Caenorhabditis elegans: one gene and its partner. The protein of the gene in region 1 interacts with the protein of each later gene in a pairwise test. Each region holds a gene or a part of one and is shown on either strand. Other genes may lie near its edges.

What was found.
Region 2: the proteins of srsx-36 (region 1) and pkc-1 interact in a two-hybrid assay, tested with the Caenorhabditis elegans proteins (one large-scale study listed by BioGRID).

Annotation. Positions count from the first base shown.
Region 1 is NC_003283.11:15,806,166-15,814,475, reverse strand, and holds srsx-36 (G-protein coupled receptors family 1 profile domain-containing protein), read left to right. Parts: upstream 1-4,832; 5' UTR 4,833-4,835; coding exon 4,836-4,936; intron 4,937-4,980; coding exon 4,981-5,093; intron 5,094-5,150; coding exon 5,151-5,259; intron 5,260-5,524; coding exon 5,525-5,638; intron 5,639-5,689; coding exon 5,690-5,823; intron 5,824-5,870; coding exon 5,871-6,072; intron 6,073-6,221; coding exon 6,222-6,357; downstream 6,358-8,310. Other genes in the region: fbxa-69 (F-box domain-containing protein), read left to right, coding at 1-173; nhr-282 (NR LBD domain-containing protein), read right to left, coding at 1,372-1,625, 1,687-2,194; F54B8.1 (C6 domain-containing protein), read right to left, coding at 3,146-3,347, 3,391-3,544, 3,596-3,692; srsx-38 (G-protein coupled receptors family 1 profile domain-containing protein), read left to right, coding at 6,956-7,056, 7,115-7,227, 7,274-7,382, 7,429-7,542, 7,594-7,727, 7,808-8,009.
Region 2 is NC_003283.11:12,027,480-12,036,484, forward strand, and holds the start of pkc-1 (Protein kinase C), read right to left. Parts: upstream 4,653-9,005; coding exon 4,650-4,652; intron 4,598-4,649; coding exon 4,455-4,597; intron 406-4,454; exon of another isoform or gene 269-405; intron 1-268. Other genes in the region: Protein kup-1, read right to left, coding at 4,848-5,078, 5,980-6,204, 6,253-6,407, 8,048-8,207, 8,254-8,341, 8,388-8,506. UniProt on the Caenorhabditis elegans protein: PKC is activated by diacylglycerol which in turn phosphorylates a range of cellular proteins. PKC also serves as the receptor for phorbol esters, a class of tumor promoters. Involved in neuropeptide secretion in motor axons.

The DNA of each region.
Region 1 (8,310 bases):
ACCAATCAAATAGCCGAGTCCTAAATGGAGTTGCAAATGTATTCAAACCGGATTACAATGGTGATGTGAAATTTGAAGTTGAATACTCAAACGACAACTACAAATTTGTGGTATCGCTTGGAGAATGTAAATTTTACCCATCTTTCTTGGTTTTTTGGGTCAAAAAAGTGTAAACAGTTTTTCGTATAATAAACGTATATTGAAATAATACACCGATTTTTTGATAAAATTGTTTTAACTTTGATTTAAAAAAAACAGGAAACAACAAAACAGGGAAGCAATGTAGAATTTTCTACTAGATCGAATTTGGCGGTGTGGGTCTTATCGAAGATTTTTATCACAAAAATTTGTGGAAAACGCATTCAACACATTAATTGACCATGCGCTCCTATTTTTTAAATGAAAATTCGTTTAATTAAGGAGTTTTTTTCAAAAAAATTCAACATATTGAGGCTACAACTAGAATTTTGATAAATTAAGAACAAAAAAAGAAATTCAGATTTAACCTATTTCGAAAAAAAAAATGCTGAATTTGCAATTTTTAATTTTACATAAACTTTATTCAACAATGCAGCTTTCGAATGTGTAGCTTGTCTTCAGAAAAAGTTCTGGATTTAGTTCTACAAGCATATCATTATTGGTGGCAATGGGATGACGTTCAAAACATTCTGTAAATTTCGTGGCAGTTGTCGATCGCGAGTGACCCATTTTAGAACACTCGCAGAACTGCCAACCTGTTTAGAATTTTGATATATTGCCACCACTACATCTTACAGTCTGTTATCGTGGTGAAACCCTTGCTAACGTCAAACTGTGAGTAGTTTGCCAGGAAACATCACTGATGGGTTGAGCAATTGATTTTGAAATCAAAAGTCCACCAGACCCAATCAAATGACAAACGTAAACATTTTTAAATTATGCATCAGTGCGTGAGAAATTGTTTCATTTTAGCGAAAATTTTAAAGATATCCCCTTGTGATGTCTGTTGCAAATGTTAGTATCAAAGTATAAGACACATCGAATGTGCCCAAAAGGTTTTTAGTCTTACGTTATGCTATATTATTCACAATTAATAAAATCAAACGTATGGTGTTTTTCGATTTCTTGTAATTTTGAATTTATTTGAAGATACATTTTGTTTCTGGATAAATATGAAAATCAATTAATTTCAGCTCACCAACTGTTGTTGAAGTTTTCGTAAGTACGGCTGGTCTCAGAATTGTCATAACTTTCACAAAATACAAATTTAGTATCGCAAACTATTTATATGAAAGTATAAGTATACCATCAAAGCATTGCCATATTTCTGTGGGGATTGCAGTAAATAAGTATTTATTAGAAAAATAATTTATAGAGTTAATTCAGGCTTCCTCACAACAAGTTAAAGCCTTTTTTCACAATATCATCCAGTTGAAACTCTGGATTAGTCAACTGCAAGAATACAAAGTATCGATTGAGATCTTCATAGTGTTGCCCAACAACTTGAAATACGTCCAATAATTTTGTGAACCTGATTGGACCATCTTGATAAAAAGTAAGCATACAATATTTAAGAAGACTTGAACTGTAATAACTTTGGAACGAAGATAGAAGAAGGTTTCCCGTATCTGAGAGATCTTCAATAGCTGCAACAAATTGTACATTTTTGGCAATTGAATTAAACTGAGAGTGAGCTAGATTACATACCTGGACTACTAAATATCAATACCAATAGTAATAAAAACTCCTCGTTTGTAATTTGAAGCTCACAACATTTGGCAACCAATCTGAATTTGATCCGTTCTCCGAGTTCGATTCCCAAATCCTCTATCAAAATATTCGACCCATCGGGAAATGTCAATTGTTTCTCTCCCAACAGATAATATCGAAATGCTTCACAAAAACTTGCGACTTTCACAAAATTCTTTTGTAGAATAAACGATTGATCACGTGAACTTGATTGATATACGAATGGGAATTTTCTCAAAAAATCCGAGGTAGAAACTGCAACCAGATAAAACCAATCTCTATAGTTCATAGGATGACATCTAGGGATGTACTCTATAACATCGTTCTGGACGATTTGCCCAATAGTGTAATCTCTATATTTAGGAATAGAGTTTAAATAAAGTGTACAACGATTGAAATTCACTTCTGATATAAAATCAGTCAATGGTTCCAGAGATGTATTTTGGAGCAATGACTTGATGTTCATGCCAACTCGAATGCACTTTTGAAATCTGCAGAATTAAAAAATTGAGCTGAGATGGAAGAAATCGAAGAAAAGAGGTGGGAACTTTTTGTTGGAGATTTTTAATCAATTTATTAAATGAAATTCCCTAGAACGTGTTTTAAAAAATTGGTAACTAATTTTTCCAGAAGACATGCGATTTCTCGTTAAATTTGAAAATCTGGTGTCACAGCAAACGACTCGAATGGAATTATCGTCAACCTTGACTATTTACGAGGTTCAAACTCTCATTTTTCCCGGAGAAAAGTATTAGGTTGAGCTTCGAGGTGTTTCACTGGAAAATAACACTTTAGTTGCAATGTGGTCACAGGAAATTCGAGCAGGTAAAAGAGAAACAATCAAAATTTTTTTAATTTTCACTAAAGTAAAATGTGTGTGTTTTTTTTTTTGAAATCCAAAATTTAAAACTCCCCTGAAAACTTTTTGTGAAAATATTAAAATTTGAAATTCGCGCCAATTTTTCTTTGAACAAATTTGAATTTTGATTTCCTTTTTTTTTTTAATTTTCAGAATTTTGCCCTAAAGAACTCGCGGATCTCCTCGAGAAATGTCACGTCTTCATTGGAAAGGAAACTGCTCAATTGCAAGAGATAAAAAATCTCTATCGGTGCAAACCGAAACCATACTGGGATTATATCTACAACTTCAGAGGCAAAGTGATGGAAAAATACATCAAGGATGATAACGGCCAGCCAGGAAATCTCAAATGGGTTTTACTATGTAGTATTTGTTTTTGATTTTTAATAAAGTGCATTTCCTAAAAAAAATTTCTTCAAAAATATTATACCTCCTACGAGCCGTGCTCATACATAGCAATGAGTCTACTTAAAGCCTTCTTTCTTGTTAGTCATTTCACAAATATGAACACTATTTCCGAAAAATTTATTTAAAAAAACAAATTTATAAACAAATAGCTCATAAATTTTTGCATTCTATGCTTGAAATGTCGTAAGAATGTGCATCATCATCAATATACACCCACCATGTGCCCGAATATGCTCCTGTTTCAAAACAGTACACAACTTGAGGTGCACCATTCGTATTTCCGGAGATAACAGTGACCCCATTGATCAATGTAACTTTAATAAAAGTTCCAGCAGGACATGTGAATTGGCTTCTGCAATTTTTTTTATTCTTGAGAGAAAGCAGCAATAACCTACGAGCAAACGTCGGGTAATGAGGAAGCCTCCGGAGGCCCCACGCCTAAAGTATAACTGACTGGAACCTGAGCAGCTGTAGAGCACCAATTTGATGCACTTGGAAGTCCAAATCCTTGGCAGCCAGAGTTGTAAATTTTTGAGCAAACATTGCAGGCTGAAATAGAAAAATATGAGATCAGGTCTAAAAAACGGTTTCAAAACTCACGGAAAGGTGCTTCAGTCGGTGGCTCAATTTGTTGAGTGGGAATACAAGCAAGCAAACCTTCAATTAAACTCAAAAATATGAGAAGCTGCTGGAACATTATTAAAAAATATTAGGAATAATAAATCAGATTAAATAAAAGTACGATATCAAATTAATCGACAACATTCTTTTTTTGATCCTCCTCTCTTTGCTAAGATTACGTAAGTGATAGGATTATCCAGTTTCATGAGGGATAAACAGCAAATCAGGTGGGACAAATGATCAAGATCAAACAGAAAACTGTCAAATGCACTAAAGTGAACAGAATGTAGCAGCCGACGTCTAACGGGGTTTATTTTGAAATTGAACATATTTTTGACATTTTAATTACACCTTCAGATACATATTAAAAAAGAACCTTATAATATGCTTGGTAGTCATTTGATACCTTCCGAACAACTTTAACATTGATTAATCTACGATAGAAATATTCTAGAAAATCAGAAAAGTTTTTTTTTCGTCTTCTTAAAAGCTGAATGATTTCTTTAAAAAATTGTACAAAACTTCCAAAATATTTCAGATTGTATCTATCGAGTCTATAGCCTATAGCCTAGAGCGAAAATTGCGCTTTTTTAAAGATCAAAAGCTGTTGGTTATCACATTAATCATCGATCAGTTCTGATACTTTTCGCGCAAATGATTGGCAAAAGATCCAGTTTTTAAAAAAGTGATAAGATTGATATACAAACAATTGATATGTAAAATGAAAATGGTTCAAAGTGGCAAAACTGTGTTAATAAATATCACAAAAACTGTAAGTTTGTTCATTCGAATTTTGGTCATGAATTTTGGGAAACTTTTTTGTCCACCGCGGGCACAAATTTCAGACCACCTGATGAACATAGAACAATGTATTGTGGCTTAACAACTTATTCACCTGCAGACTCGTGTATTACTCAAACCAAGCGTTGGTTTGAATCTATTTTTTTCCAAGACGCAAATGTTGAAAGTTATATATTTTGTGCCTCACAATGTTTTTCCAATAATAAACCTCAGAAGTTCCAGATCGGGTCTTGTGAGATCACAGCTGAATTCGAGAAACACGTTTTATTTTTCCTTGTTTCATGTCTCGCGTGTATTATGTGTAGGCGGAACAGTAAAAACTATACATGTGCCGGAAATGTGAATAGCTTCCTGTTATTACTGTCTACCAGTTGTTTTCGCGCCCAGTTCATTGTTCTGGTATCAGCTTTTTGAGAAAATGGAGCTTCTTCTCGTCATCCTTCTGTTCCTATATTCCACAATTTTTATTGTTGGTTTCACTGGAAATTTGTTCATGGTTTTGGTTACACTGCATAGCAAGTTAGTTTTTTTTTGATAAGTTTCACTATCATATCGATTTTCAGCAAGCTCCGTTCAATTTGTAACATATTAATCTGTGTCTGCTGTTTCTGTGATCTTTTGCTTTTCACCGACGTCATTGCATTTGTAGTGTCAATGCTTACACCATTAACTCAAGGTATGCTAAAACTTTTTAAAAAAAGTTATTCAGAATCTTCGAACTTATAAAATTCAGAGTTGTGTTTCTACATCAGTATTCCTGCGGATTTCGGAGCTTTTGCTTCAAATGCATGTGTTTTGGCTATTGGGATTGATCGATTAATTGCAGTAGCTGCTCCCACAAGGTATAATTTGCCTGCTTTTTTTTGGAAAATTGAAAAGCAAGAAATTTTCGTTTTTAGATTTTCTAAGGGGTTGTAAGTTATACGATATTTCGCTTTTCACCTGTCTGAACATTGTGGTTTATATCCACAATGGTATTGTTAAAATGAACACACAACTTTGTGAGATCTTTGAATTAGGTAACTAAACTTTTAATTTGACTTACATTTATTATTATTATTTTGGAATCATTTTCTTTTCACGCTATTCCTACAATAACTGTTTTAGATACAAATTGCTGGAAAACGAACGCTACAAGTATTTGTTTCTTCAAATGACGTTTCCAGTCATCTATTCTTCAACTTTATTGATTATGGGATTTGGACAACGTGATCCAAGAAGGTGAGGTTTTAAATTAAAATTTCAAATTTTAAAACTAATTTTCATCTTTAGAAATGTGGTCTGTCTACTCCCAGAATCATTGGGTCATGCTTATGACATGTTCGCTCTTTCTTCCTTTGGCATTAATCTTTTTGTACCGCCGATCTACGCATACGTGTATTTTAAAGTCAAAAATATGAGTGACAGTGAGCTGCCGACAGTTTTAGAGTTTTGAAAATGTAGAAACATTTAGATAATTCTATCAAAACCGTTTTCAAATCACTATCGGTTACTGTATGGTTTGTCGTGTGCGGTTGGATGACAACTGACTTGATTGGTGCGCTTACAGTAATACTTCCGATGGATAGGAGCGTGGCAAGAATGGTTCAGCTCTACTGTGGAACTTTTATATTCACGTCGAGTGCTTTTAATGCAGTTGTGTATTATAAATTCAGGTAATTTATATTTTCTGTAGGGCTTCCATGCAGGAGTCGAAACTTCAGCCTCACAGACGTTCAAAAAATAGACGAGGAGGCCGGTAGGTATTAGGCAAGGAAGTCCTAGAAAAGCATCCAATGTGAATTAAATTATGGTTTTATTTCAGCCGTGACTATCGTTCAGCAATGCGTACAATGCTGGGTCTGTCCAATGAAGTTTCCATAGCTGATATTAATATCTATCAACAAGCTTCCGATCCACCAAAGTCAAGTAATCAGAGACCATTTACAAATACAAGCTGATAACTTTTAAAATAAAAAAGTGGTCTTTCACTCATGTGTGCTTTTTGTTTGAATACTCTAAATTTTGTGGAAATTATGTTCTACAAAAATTTATCCATACTTTTTCAGATCTCTGAAAACCGTGACTTTTACAGGAAACGTTTTACAGAATAACTAGAGCGACGCATTTTCTCAGAATTTCTCTGAGAATTGTTGATTACCAAAAAAAAAAATCAAGTTCCATGTTAATTCAGTTGAAGAACACCAACTGTTCAGGGAACACATTTCAATTTGTTAGATTCCTGCAGGCAATTGTATTATTTAAATGCAAAAGTATTGTTTTTATCATAATTGTCTTTAACTGCAAAATGATGTTATTAAATAGTCTGTTTGCCTGTTTTCCGATAAAAAACAAAAAAAAACCATTTGCATAATTTGTATTTCCTGCTTTACTCTTTTCTTTTTATTCATTACCGCCCCTACCTATTTGATTTACGAGACTTGTGTTAACTTTACAACCACTTCATAGTTATTGCCTTTTTTCGTGCTTTTTTTTTCAATTTTTGAATTTTCAGACTTGAGTTAGTTGAAGCCCATTTTTGCATTTGACACCCAAACAATGGAGTCTCTTCTTATTATCCTTTGCTGCATCTATTGTACAGTTTTTGTGGTCGGAACAACTGGAAATTTGATAATGGTTATGGTGACTTTTTATTGCAAGTATGTACATTTCTATTTTTTTTCTTTTTTTTTTTTTTTTTTAATTTAATTCTTTCAGAAACCTCCGCTCGATTTGCAACATTCTAATCGGATTCTGTTGCTTCTGCGATCTACTTCTTTTCACAGACATAATTGCTTTCATGATCTCTATGTTCATGCCCATTACTCAAGGTAGATAAGCAATTCAAATGTAATTCTTATTAATGCTTACCTTTAGAATTCTGTTACTTTATGAGCATCCCCGCAGATTTTGGAGCATTTGCATCGAGCGCATGTGTACTGGCTGTTGGAATTGACCGCCTTATTGCTGTAGCTCTTCCGGCAAGGTAGTTCAAATATTGATAGATTTGGGCGTTCAGTTCAAAATTTAAGATATAAAACCTTGGAACACGATCGTTTCTGGTACTTATTAATATTGATAGCTTTCCCTGTTGTATATGCATTGGCGTTACTGTATATTGGATTCACACAGCGAGACCCCGGAAGGTATGCAACACAAAATTGAACTAGCTGCTTACATACGTTGAGATATTCCAGAATCGTGGTTTGTCTAGTTCCCGAATCGCTGGGACATGCGTATGACGTGTTCGCGCTCACTTCTTTTGTCATTAACCTTTTCGTGTCACCAATCTATGCCTATGTCTACATGAAAATCAAAAAAATGGGATTGAGTAAGCTATTTTTCAATTTTAATAGTGACGGAAAACAAAAACACAAAATACAAAATAATTGAGGAACCACAAATTTCCAGACAGCTCAATGAAAGCGGTTTTTAAGTCACTCACGATTACCGTATGTCTTGTGCTTTGTGGTTGGATGGCTACAGACACAGTCGGAGCACTTTCACTAACACTTCCGATAGACAAGAATGTGGCCAGAATGATGCAGTTGTACGCAGGAGTTTTCATTCTTTCTTCTAGCTCTTTCAATGCATTTGTTTATTATAGAATTAGGTACGATATGGGTGAACATCTTTTCCGGTAGTTTGCAGTGATTCAAATTATTGGTTTTGTTTGCCAAACTTCAAGTTGGAACTTTGTCGCTGAATTTTTAAACTTTTAAAATGTATTCGAGAAATAAGCCAAGACTAAATTAAGTAATTAACCTTAGTCGCTTATTCCTTGAGTAACCTTTGATAGTTCATATTGAGGAAGCATAAAGACCTTGGACAAACTTTGGTCGGACCTAGGCCAGATTATGTTTCAGATGTTGAATATGTGCCAAAATTATGCTTACCTCAACTTAGAACTAGCC
Region 2 (9,005 bases), 3.8 Mb from region 1:
GAATTACATAAACTTTTTGGAGGGAATTTAAACAGGGAGTTTAGTCAAATTTGAAAAATAAAGTTTTTTAAATTGAATTTTTAATTTTTTTTTCGCGATTTTTTTCGTTTTTCTTTTGTGGTATTTTGCAAGTTGAGACTATTTCGAAAATTTTGACGGCAAAATCGATTTTACAACTTTCCATAACCAATTCAGCAACAAAATGTAAAAATCCACTCGACTTCTGAAACTACCGTACTCCTAAAACGGATGAAAGGTGTATGAGAGGGTGAGAGAAAGATAAATTGCGACCAATTCCATACAAATAGACATTTTAGTTCATTTGGTCTACGAAATTCGCTCAAGGCAAAAATATCTCATTTCAATTTGATGCTCTCGTAAATGTGTCGATTATACTGGTCGTGTGAGGCACGCGCGCCTAGCATGGAAATGAATGAACCCAGTGAAAGGGTTAGTACACGTATAATCCGTCTTAATAAAATGGTCAATTGAAAGAAAAGATTTATATGACTCGTTTAGTATATTGGAAATATCAGTAATAACATGTCTCAATGTTGAACAACGGAATATCTTTGAGAAGAATAGCTCCAAAAATTTTAGAATTAAGAATTTTATAAATTAAACGATGAACTAATTTTAAAGACTCTAACGTCTCCAGCGTTAGAAATTAAAGGCTAAAAGCTTTTCCTACTTGATACATCCGGTGAAAACTCATCCAATTTGATAGATATTTTGGAACTCGTTGAGGATGGGGGAGAAAGAGATATCATCTACATATGAGATCCATAGTATTCCAACAATTTGATTCTAAAGCCACGATGACGCGACCGTCATTGACGACCAACGACGTCGATGACAACAAGGGCGACTATTTGAAAAGAGTCGCAGTCGTTGTGTACATTAATCCTGTGCTGATCTACCCGGAAATGAAGTAAGAGGAGGTGTGAACAATATGCAATGGGATCAACGATAAAAGAACGAATTTCGTATACCTATGTTTTAAAAAACACACAATATATCAATATACTTAACAGACTGTTGTTTTTGTTCTTAAAGATCAAAAGTAAAGTTGAAGACGAATAAGATTATGAAAATGCTCTTCCTCGAAGGACAGAAGAGAGCCCATCTTTTCAGCTAAACCCAATGACGTGGAAAATCGAGTATATGTGGATGTGTATATGTGTGAGTGTATATTTAAGAGAGAGAAAGAGAGGGAAACAGAAATGAGTCCGTGTTTTCGCGCAGTTTGAAAAATAAAAAAGAAAAAAGTTACATTGGACGTCCATGAGAAAAAGGGACTACGGACCAGCAATTGGTGCTAGTGAATGGATCAGTTTAGATGAACAAAGGATCTTTGAACGTTCGAACCAACGCAAAAGAAAACCACAAAACGAACATAGAAACCTACATGAATATATTTTTTCTCGGAGTCATATTTGAAATCTCTGATGATTTTCCTAGTTTCTTCCTTTTGAAATTGAGAAAATTCATTACAAAAATAGTGAGTATTCGCAGATGTGATAGAATTGAATAGTTTGTGCTTACTTGAGTCTAAAGAAAGCTAACAAAATGTCGGAGCCCAGCATTACTCCGCGCCGCGCTTCACTTGTTTCATGGATACTGTTTCCTAGCAAAAAAAGTTTTTGAGAACACTTCACCGAAAAATGTCTTTGTATGCGTAATACTAATGTTTTGTGCAGAAACATACATAATGTTAGCTAGTAAAAAATGAATGTTATCGTAATACCTATTATTCTACAAATTTCAGTGATCTTGTATAATCAGATAAACTTACCATAACTAGATATAACTCGTACTTGACAATTTATACATTGCACTTCTGAGAAACCATATAATTATAATTTCGAATCATAATAATTTTACAGTTTTCCCTTTTTTTAAAGGATCATATTTAAAATACAGTGCCAAAAAACTCAATAAGTACTAATCAGAACTATTGAGATTGACAGTGATCTTAAAATAACTGTTGAGTGAATTTTTTTTTTAATTGACTGGCAAATAAAATCCGTTGCAATAATAGAATGTGTACTGTCGCACTCAAACAGTGATGATGATGGTGGTGATGGTTGAAGTGATTTGAATAATTCCGACACCTAGACCGGTACCTGCGTTTCAGAGAGATAGCAATCGAAAAAAATGTTCTAATTCCCAAAACTTTTCGAATACTATGACGAGTGCTGGCCAGTGGGCGTTTGTTTCTGCAACAATGACAACGAACACCCGGCTGTCAAACAAATATCGTAGGAATTGGATCGAAAGCGTATTTACTATATATTTCTAGCGGGAAACAAGGCACACAAGTTGTTTTTTTACATTGTGCTTTTTTTCGCTCCTAGTATTACTGGAACACAAAATTCTGAGAATGCGTATTGAACAACATATTTGACGCGCAAAATAACTCGTAGCGGAATCTGCAGTAATTCTTTACATGACTACTGTAGCCCTTGTGTCGATTTACGGGTTCGATATTTGAAATGAATTAAAATCATTAATTTATCGATAGTTTTTTTTAATTAAGCAAAATAAAAAGAAAACAATCCGAAGAAACAAAAGAAATGGGAATATCGATGTTACTTACTGTTTGAAAATAAATTCATTTCAAAAATCGAGGCCATAAATCGACACATTCATAGAATTACTGTAGTTTTCGCTACGAGATATTTTGCCCAATGCACATTCGAAAATCTCTAGTTTGGCATCAAGGATCGTCGATGTAATAAATCAGAACAACGTAAAATTGACTAAAAACTAGCACTTTTTATTCTAAATATCAGATTAATTTCCATTCTGTATACAACTCTATCTCGATATAACAACAAAAAAAAGTATTTCAACACCGTGACCATCTCAACAAATGTGATGCTTGAATGCTCGGTCTCACGAGCAGTTGATGAGAAAAATCTGCATTTTTGCCGCTCCTCTTCTTCCTTTTTTGCATTTCTCTATGCGTCTCTATTTTGTATACAGAATTTGCCGCCGCCTTAAGCTAAAATAGAAAAGAAAAGGGAGCTCACTATACTCGAAGTAAAAAATCTTTTCATCGAGAGATTCCGGTAGAGCCAGCGGCGAAAAACTGATGACGAGAACAAAAAAAAAAGAGAATTTTGAGTGTGAAGTTGCAAAAAGTTCAGCGCATGGGCTGCATTTAGTGTGACGAAAAATAGTTTTATGGTACATATGAATACATTTTTAAGTGAGTGAAGTGAATCGGAAGAGAGAGAGAGAGAGGCTGGGAGCTAACTGAACGAACAAGATCTAAAGGAAGTGAGAAAGGAAAAAAGAAAGAGCAAGAGAGCAACAGCTTGTTTCCCTCTCGCATTTTTCTTCGAATTGCGCCTTTCAACAGCTACTTTTTTATGCACAAAACTCTCAGTTATGGGGAGAAAAAGAAATGAAGGAAGCAAATTTACGTTGGACGTCGTCTTTGAATCGGTTTTCCTCTTATTTCATTTATCCGGATGAGATGAGAGAAATTACAGATCGAGAACGTAACAAAAATTGTATTATCTCATTATGAAACTAAATTGTTCTTACAATCTTTGCAAATTATCCAAATTTACGAGATAAATACTATAGTTCTATAAACTTATAACAATAGTTCTCTATGAGAAATTTAATTATAAATTGGAGTTTGCCTCATTACAATTATCACCATTTTTGAGTGTTTGGCAGAAACAGGTGATAACGTTTTTCACTTAATTCAACACGATACTCACGAAAAATTTCACCTGCGCTTAAATTTCAGATTAGCGAAAGATATTTAAATTCAGATTCTCAAGAAGCAATGGAAAAATATTTAAATTAAAAGAGGGGTCTTAAAAATGAGTGTGTCTTACTATATACTAATGGTCCGACATTTACCGGGTTCCGCGAATCTTTTCGAAAACACACAGAAGTGGCGCAACCCGGTAGATGTCGGGCCATGATACACAGTAAGAGCTACTGAGCCAAATTCCAAAATTACTTTCTAATTGATTAAAAAAGCTGGAACATTTTCAGTGAGGAATTTACCTAAATACACTTATACTAGTCTAACATGGCCAAATATCACAATTAAACACTTCAAAAATTCCCATCCACAGTTTTTGGTAAATTGCCAATTTTGTTGGATTTTTGAGAAATTGTAAACATTCCTACAAGGTCTAAAATTTACAATGTTCAAATACGAACAATTCTAACGCAATTAAAATATAAACTCGTACGAGAGAATTTTTGATCGACTTCGAAAATGATGTTAGGCGAAAACTGAGTTTTTGCCACTTTTTGACTACAAACGAATTTCAAAAGATTTTTGAAACAAAGCGAGACATTCAGGAAAGCGAGAGAAATCAGGAAGAACACCGATATTGACTAAATCATTGTTTTCTGTGGAAACTATGCGGAAAAAATTTGCAAAGAATTTCCCAGTTTTATAAAATAAATTAAAAACTAACCTGCGATACCGTCTTGATATAATCTTCCTCCTCTTCCTTAACAACACTGAATCCTTTGGTGAAACTTTTCCATTCAACGCGTATTTATTCTTATTTTTACCCCAAAATCCTCCAGATGATATTGTCCGACTACTGAAGAATTTCTGAAATAAAAATTTAACATTCTTTTGCTTGTCAGTTTGTCATGCTCCTTACCATTTTATGACATATTGACCCGTGAAATTACTGAAAAAATGGTAAGTTTTGAGAATAAGATCGTCTGGATCAAAGTATAATAGAAGCGACCGACAGCTTCATAGAAAATAAAATACATAACAAAACATGGAAACAAATAAATTTATCTGGTCATTGTGAGAAATTAAAAAAACAAATACAGTTTGTGGTGAGATATTGTTAATATTCATCTGGATCTTCTCTTCCAGGAAATTGAATCCGTTCTCGAATTGGACGTTCAACTCTTCCAGGTCGTATGGCGTGTGCAGAAGACCCTTGCCGTGATACGATATCATCCTTTTCGTAATCTTTTTCATCAGTTCTCCGTTTCTTGACTGGAGTGGTGTCATCAGAAGCTAACGAACTACTTCCCTCGCCGAAAAGAAATCCGCATTTCACAGCTCCTCGACCCTGAAAATTATTTTATAACATTTTAGAGTTTGTGAGTATTTTGTGAAAAATATAAGATCATAAATAATGCATTTCTTCAGTTAACTATGTTTTGTTGAGAGATCCACTCAAAAACTAGACCGTTTTAGTATTCACATTAATTTTTCGTAATTTGCAGAAAAAAACATATAACTACTATCTTTGTGACACAATAATCAAAACAATTTGATCGAATCTCTACATAAAAACCGCAATACTTTTGGGAAATTAACAATATAAAAGAAATATGGTATTTGAAATTAAATTTAAATAAATCTGATTTTTGAAATATTCTAGAACTAAGGTACTGCAGGAACGATGAGATATCATAAATAACCATTTAAAAAAGCAAATCGAGTTTAATGTTGAATACCTGCTGAAACTAAAAAATCTACAAAATAGGAACATTCTACAAATTTCATCACTTCTTTTGCATATTCCTTCTCTGTAATGACTGAAAATAATTGCTAAAAAATTATATAATTTTTTCTAAATTTTTTTAATGATATTTTCAATTTTGCAAATCATAAAAATGGGCTAATTATTTTTGAATTTCCGCGCAAGAAAATGAACTTAACTTAATGAAAGAAATTCGCAGAAACTTCTTTAGTGTTTTTTAATCTGAAATATTGAGAAGAGAAACTATTAACCCTAATTAATTTAACCAGAAAACGCCGAAATGTCAAAACTAGGTCATTAACTTGCGTGGGAATTCAAAAATAATTAGCCAATTTTCAAATTTTTGCAAAAGTGAAAATAAAATCTTAAACATTTTTTTAACAGTTATATTCTGTTACATTATGATTCATTTTCTATAATTTAAAGCAAATTCCAAATCGAATCTACTCTACCGTTAATGAATTATTTGAATTCAAAAACTCACTTTAATTTTGATTCCCTGTGGAAGTTTCACTTTCTCGACTTTCTCCTCATTTTTATCTTCGTTGTAAAATCTTGTATCATGCTCATAATCCCATTCGAGTTCTTTTCCTTCTTTATCGAATACATTCAATCCTCCACGATTTGATGACTCATGTGTCCAAAACGAATCATTTCCACGTTTTACGCCGGTCTTTTTAACTTGACTCCGATCTGATGTTACCATTGTCTTAAATAGGAAACATTTGTTTTTTTTTATAGTAAATTCATTTTCAACCTGATATTCATCCGTCGTTGCATATCGAATAATGACGAACATGTTGGCTGGAACGTGTTTTGTTAATACTCTCCATTTTCCATTTGGAACCTCGCGAGCATTTATGTCTACAGTAATAAATTCGTTGTTCTTCTCACTTGCGACGATTCCTTTTTCTGAAAACATTTTGAAATTATTAAGATCTTCTGATCTATTTTTCTTCATCAAAGATTTGAAGACTAGTTGCTTGTTTGCCTACTCAAGCCTCATAATAAAGAATGAAATGTCAAAAGCAGAATAATCGCATAAGCAAACTCGATTACATCCGTTCATCCACACCATACTCATTGTCCTCCCATCAACTCTATATTTACCCTCGTGCTCATCTACGACACCTCTGATGGGAGGTCTTTTATTGGACAATTTTAATATGATTATGTGGATGAGTATGGAAAACAATATTATCAAAGTTAGGGGAGATAAGTATATTTTTTAAAGGTGGAGTAGCGTGGAATTTTGCTTAGGAAAATCCAAAAAAGTCTCAAATTCAGAAACACCAGAAAGGAAACACGAATAAAAAATCGTGAAATAATGAATATCCTACTTTGAAAAAAAAACGCGATGTTACATTCCCTGTTTGAATTCCCTCCAAAATAAGAATTGCGACCAATCAGCGATTCGCTCGGCCCACTTTTAAACCAATTAGACGGATTGCGTGGTGATCAAAATTTCTGATTGACCCGCAAGTGGGCGAGTCCTCTTATTTTAGAGGGAATTCATACAGGAAGTTCTGAAATTTAAAATAGCGTTTTTCTTAATAGAAGGATTTTCCATTATTTTGGGATTTTTATGTTTTTCTTCTGTGGTATTTCTGCATCTGTGACATTTTTGATTTTCCTAAGCAAAATTCCAAATTAAGCTGCTTCATATTTAAATTTTAATATAATAATTCTGTATCTGAAATACACATGATGATCCCTAAATCAGATCATCTAGGTTACACATTGCTCGACATTGTAGGGAAGTGAATGATGCGAGTTGACCCAGTATCCTGTTACTTCATTGTGCGGCTACTGGTGACTGCTCCATTTCAAAACAACGGGTCGATTCTCCCCTAAACAGAATGGGAAACATAACACGCGTCGGTCAATCGTCAATCGAGAAGGATCGACGACAAAAGAACATACAAACATATCGACGCGATCTACTATATGACAGAGAAGTAGTAGAAAGGGGTTATCCTCTCGATTGGATACGGTGTGAACAACGACCCAACTGTGTAGTAGTAGTAGAAAGGGGAAAACTAATAATGACAATGTAAGCGGTATTATTAACCGTCAGAATGACGGATTGAGATAGAAACATTAAACTAACACAACACACTCTCCATTCTTTTTCGAGTACTATTATTCTTTTTAATTTGTTTTGCATATGAATGTAGAGTAGGACCAATGAGAATGCGTAGGCGATACATACTGATTAATTTCTATCATAAAATATTTTATATAGATCTATTGAAATTAAAGTTACATTCTTCTTTCATTTATTTCGACCAAAATTGAGAAAGCTATAAACATTCCAAACATACGCTCATTTTGTGTATCTCTTAGCAGAAATTTGTTTATTAGTAATAATGTATACTGGGTCTCCCTAAATTCAACCAGTGCTCAGCTTTCGCATTTGATTTTCAAACGAAAGCAATCAGTTCTCTTCTGTTTTGCAATATAATAATAATAATCAAAGCAGTGCCTATTGACAGCCGACGCTTGTTCAAACATCTCTCTCTCTCTTAATTTCAGCTGTGTCATCAACATACCGTTCGGCTTAAGATCCTCAATCAGTTCGACGTCATCATCTTTTTCCTGCATAATCTGGCCTTCTTCAACGTCATCATCATCGGACAATACCTCACCTTCCTCGTCGGCCTTCTTACGTCCACGTACACGACGCATCATCTTCGACATATTTAACATCATCTAAAAAAATTTATTGAAATAACAAAAAAAAATAATAGAAAAATACCGCTGCTACATCTCTTCTATATTGAAACTGGACCATTGCAACATTATCTTTCTTCCAGACTTTTTCGGGGCGGAAATTTGCGAACATTCTGAAATTTCATATAATAATCACTAATATCCAGCTATGAAGTATACTTTTGAATTTCAAATTCATCCATTGCTTCAACACCATGAGCATAAATTGAATCTAAATGTGAATTTTGATCACTTGCTCCAATTTCTTTTCGAAGGGCTGCAGTTTCGGCGATGCTCACCTGAAATAATGTTCTGTAATAATAGAAGTAGGTAATTTTTTATTTTCAACTTCATCTTTTCGACGCGTTGTTCATTCATTTTCCCTTCCGATAACGATCTATTATTTATATCGTCGACTGCTGCTCTTTTTTATAGTAGATGTGTGCTTTTTCTTGCCCCTCCAGATCCCTTCACCCTTGTTTAGCTTTTTTAAAACTCAATAACCAATTCAAAAATCCCAGGTACCAAAACTTAGAATAACTACACTGAAAGCCTCCCCCTAAATATTGTCTTTCAGTAGAGTGTTGCTTCCTGAAATAGGAGGGAAGTGAAATGAACAAAGCAAAACGAAACGGCGTGACGAGGTTACTAATTACATATTATGTGGCTTTGGCTGCTGTGTTGGAGATGCGAAGAAGAATAAAATGAGAAATAATAGGATGAAGGAAAAAGAGAGTATATTCCGAAAATCCTTTACCACACACTTGCGAACAATAGAAATAAGAAGTACACCTTCAC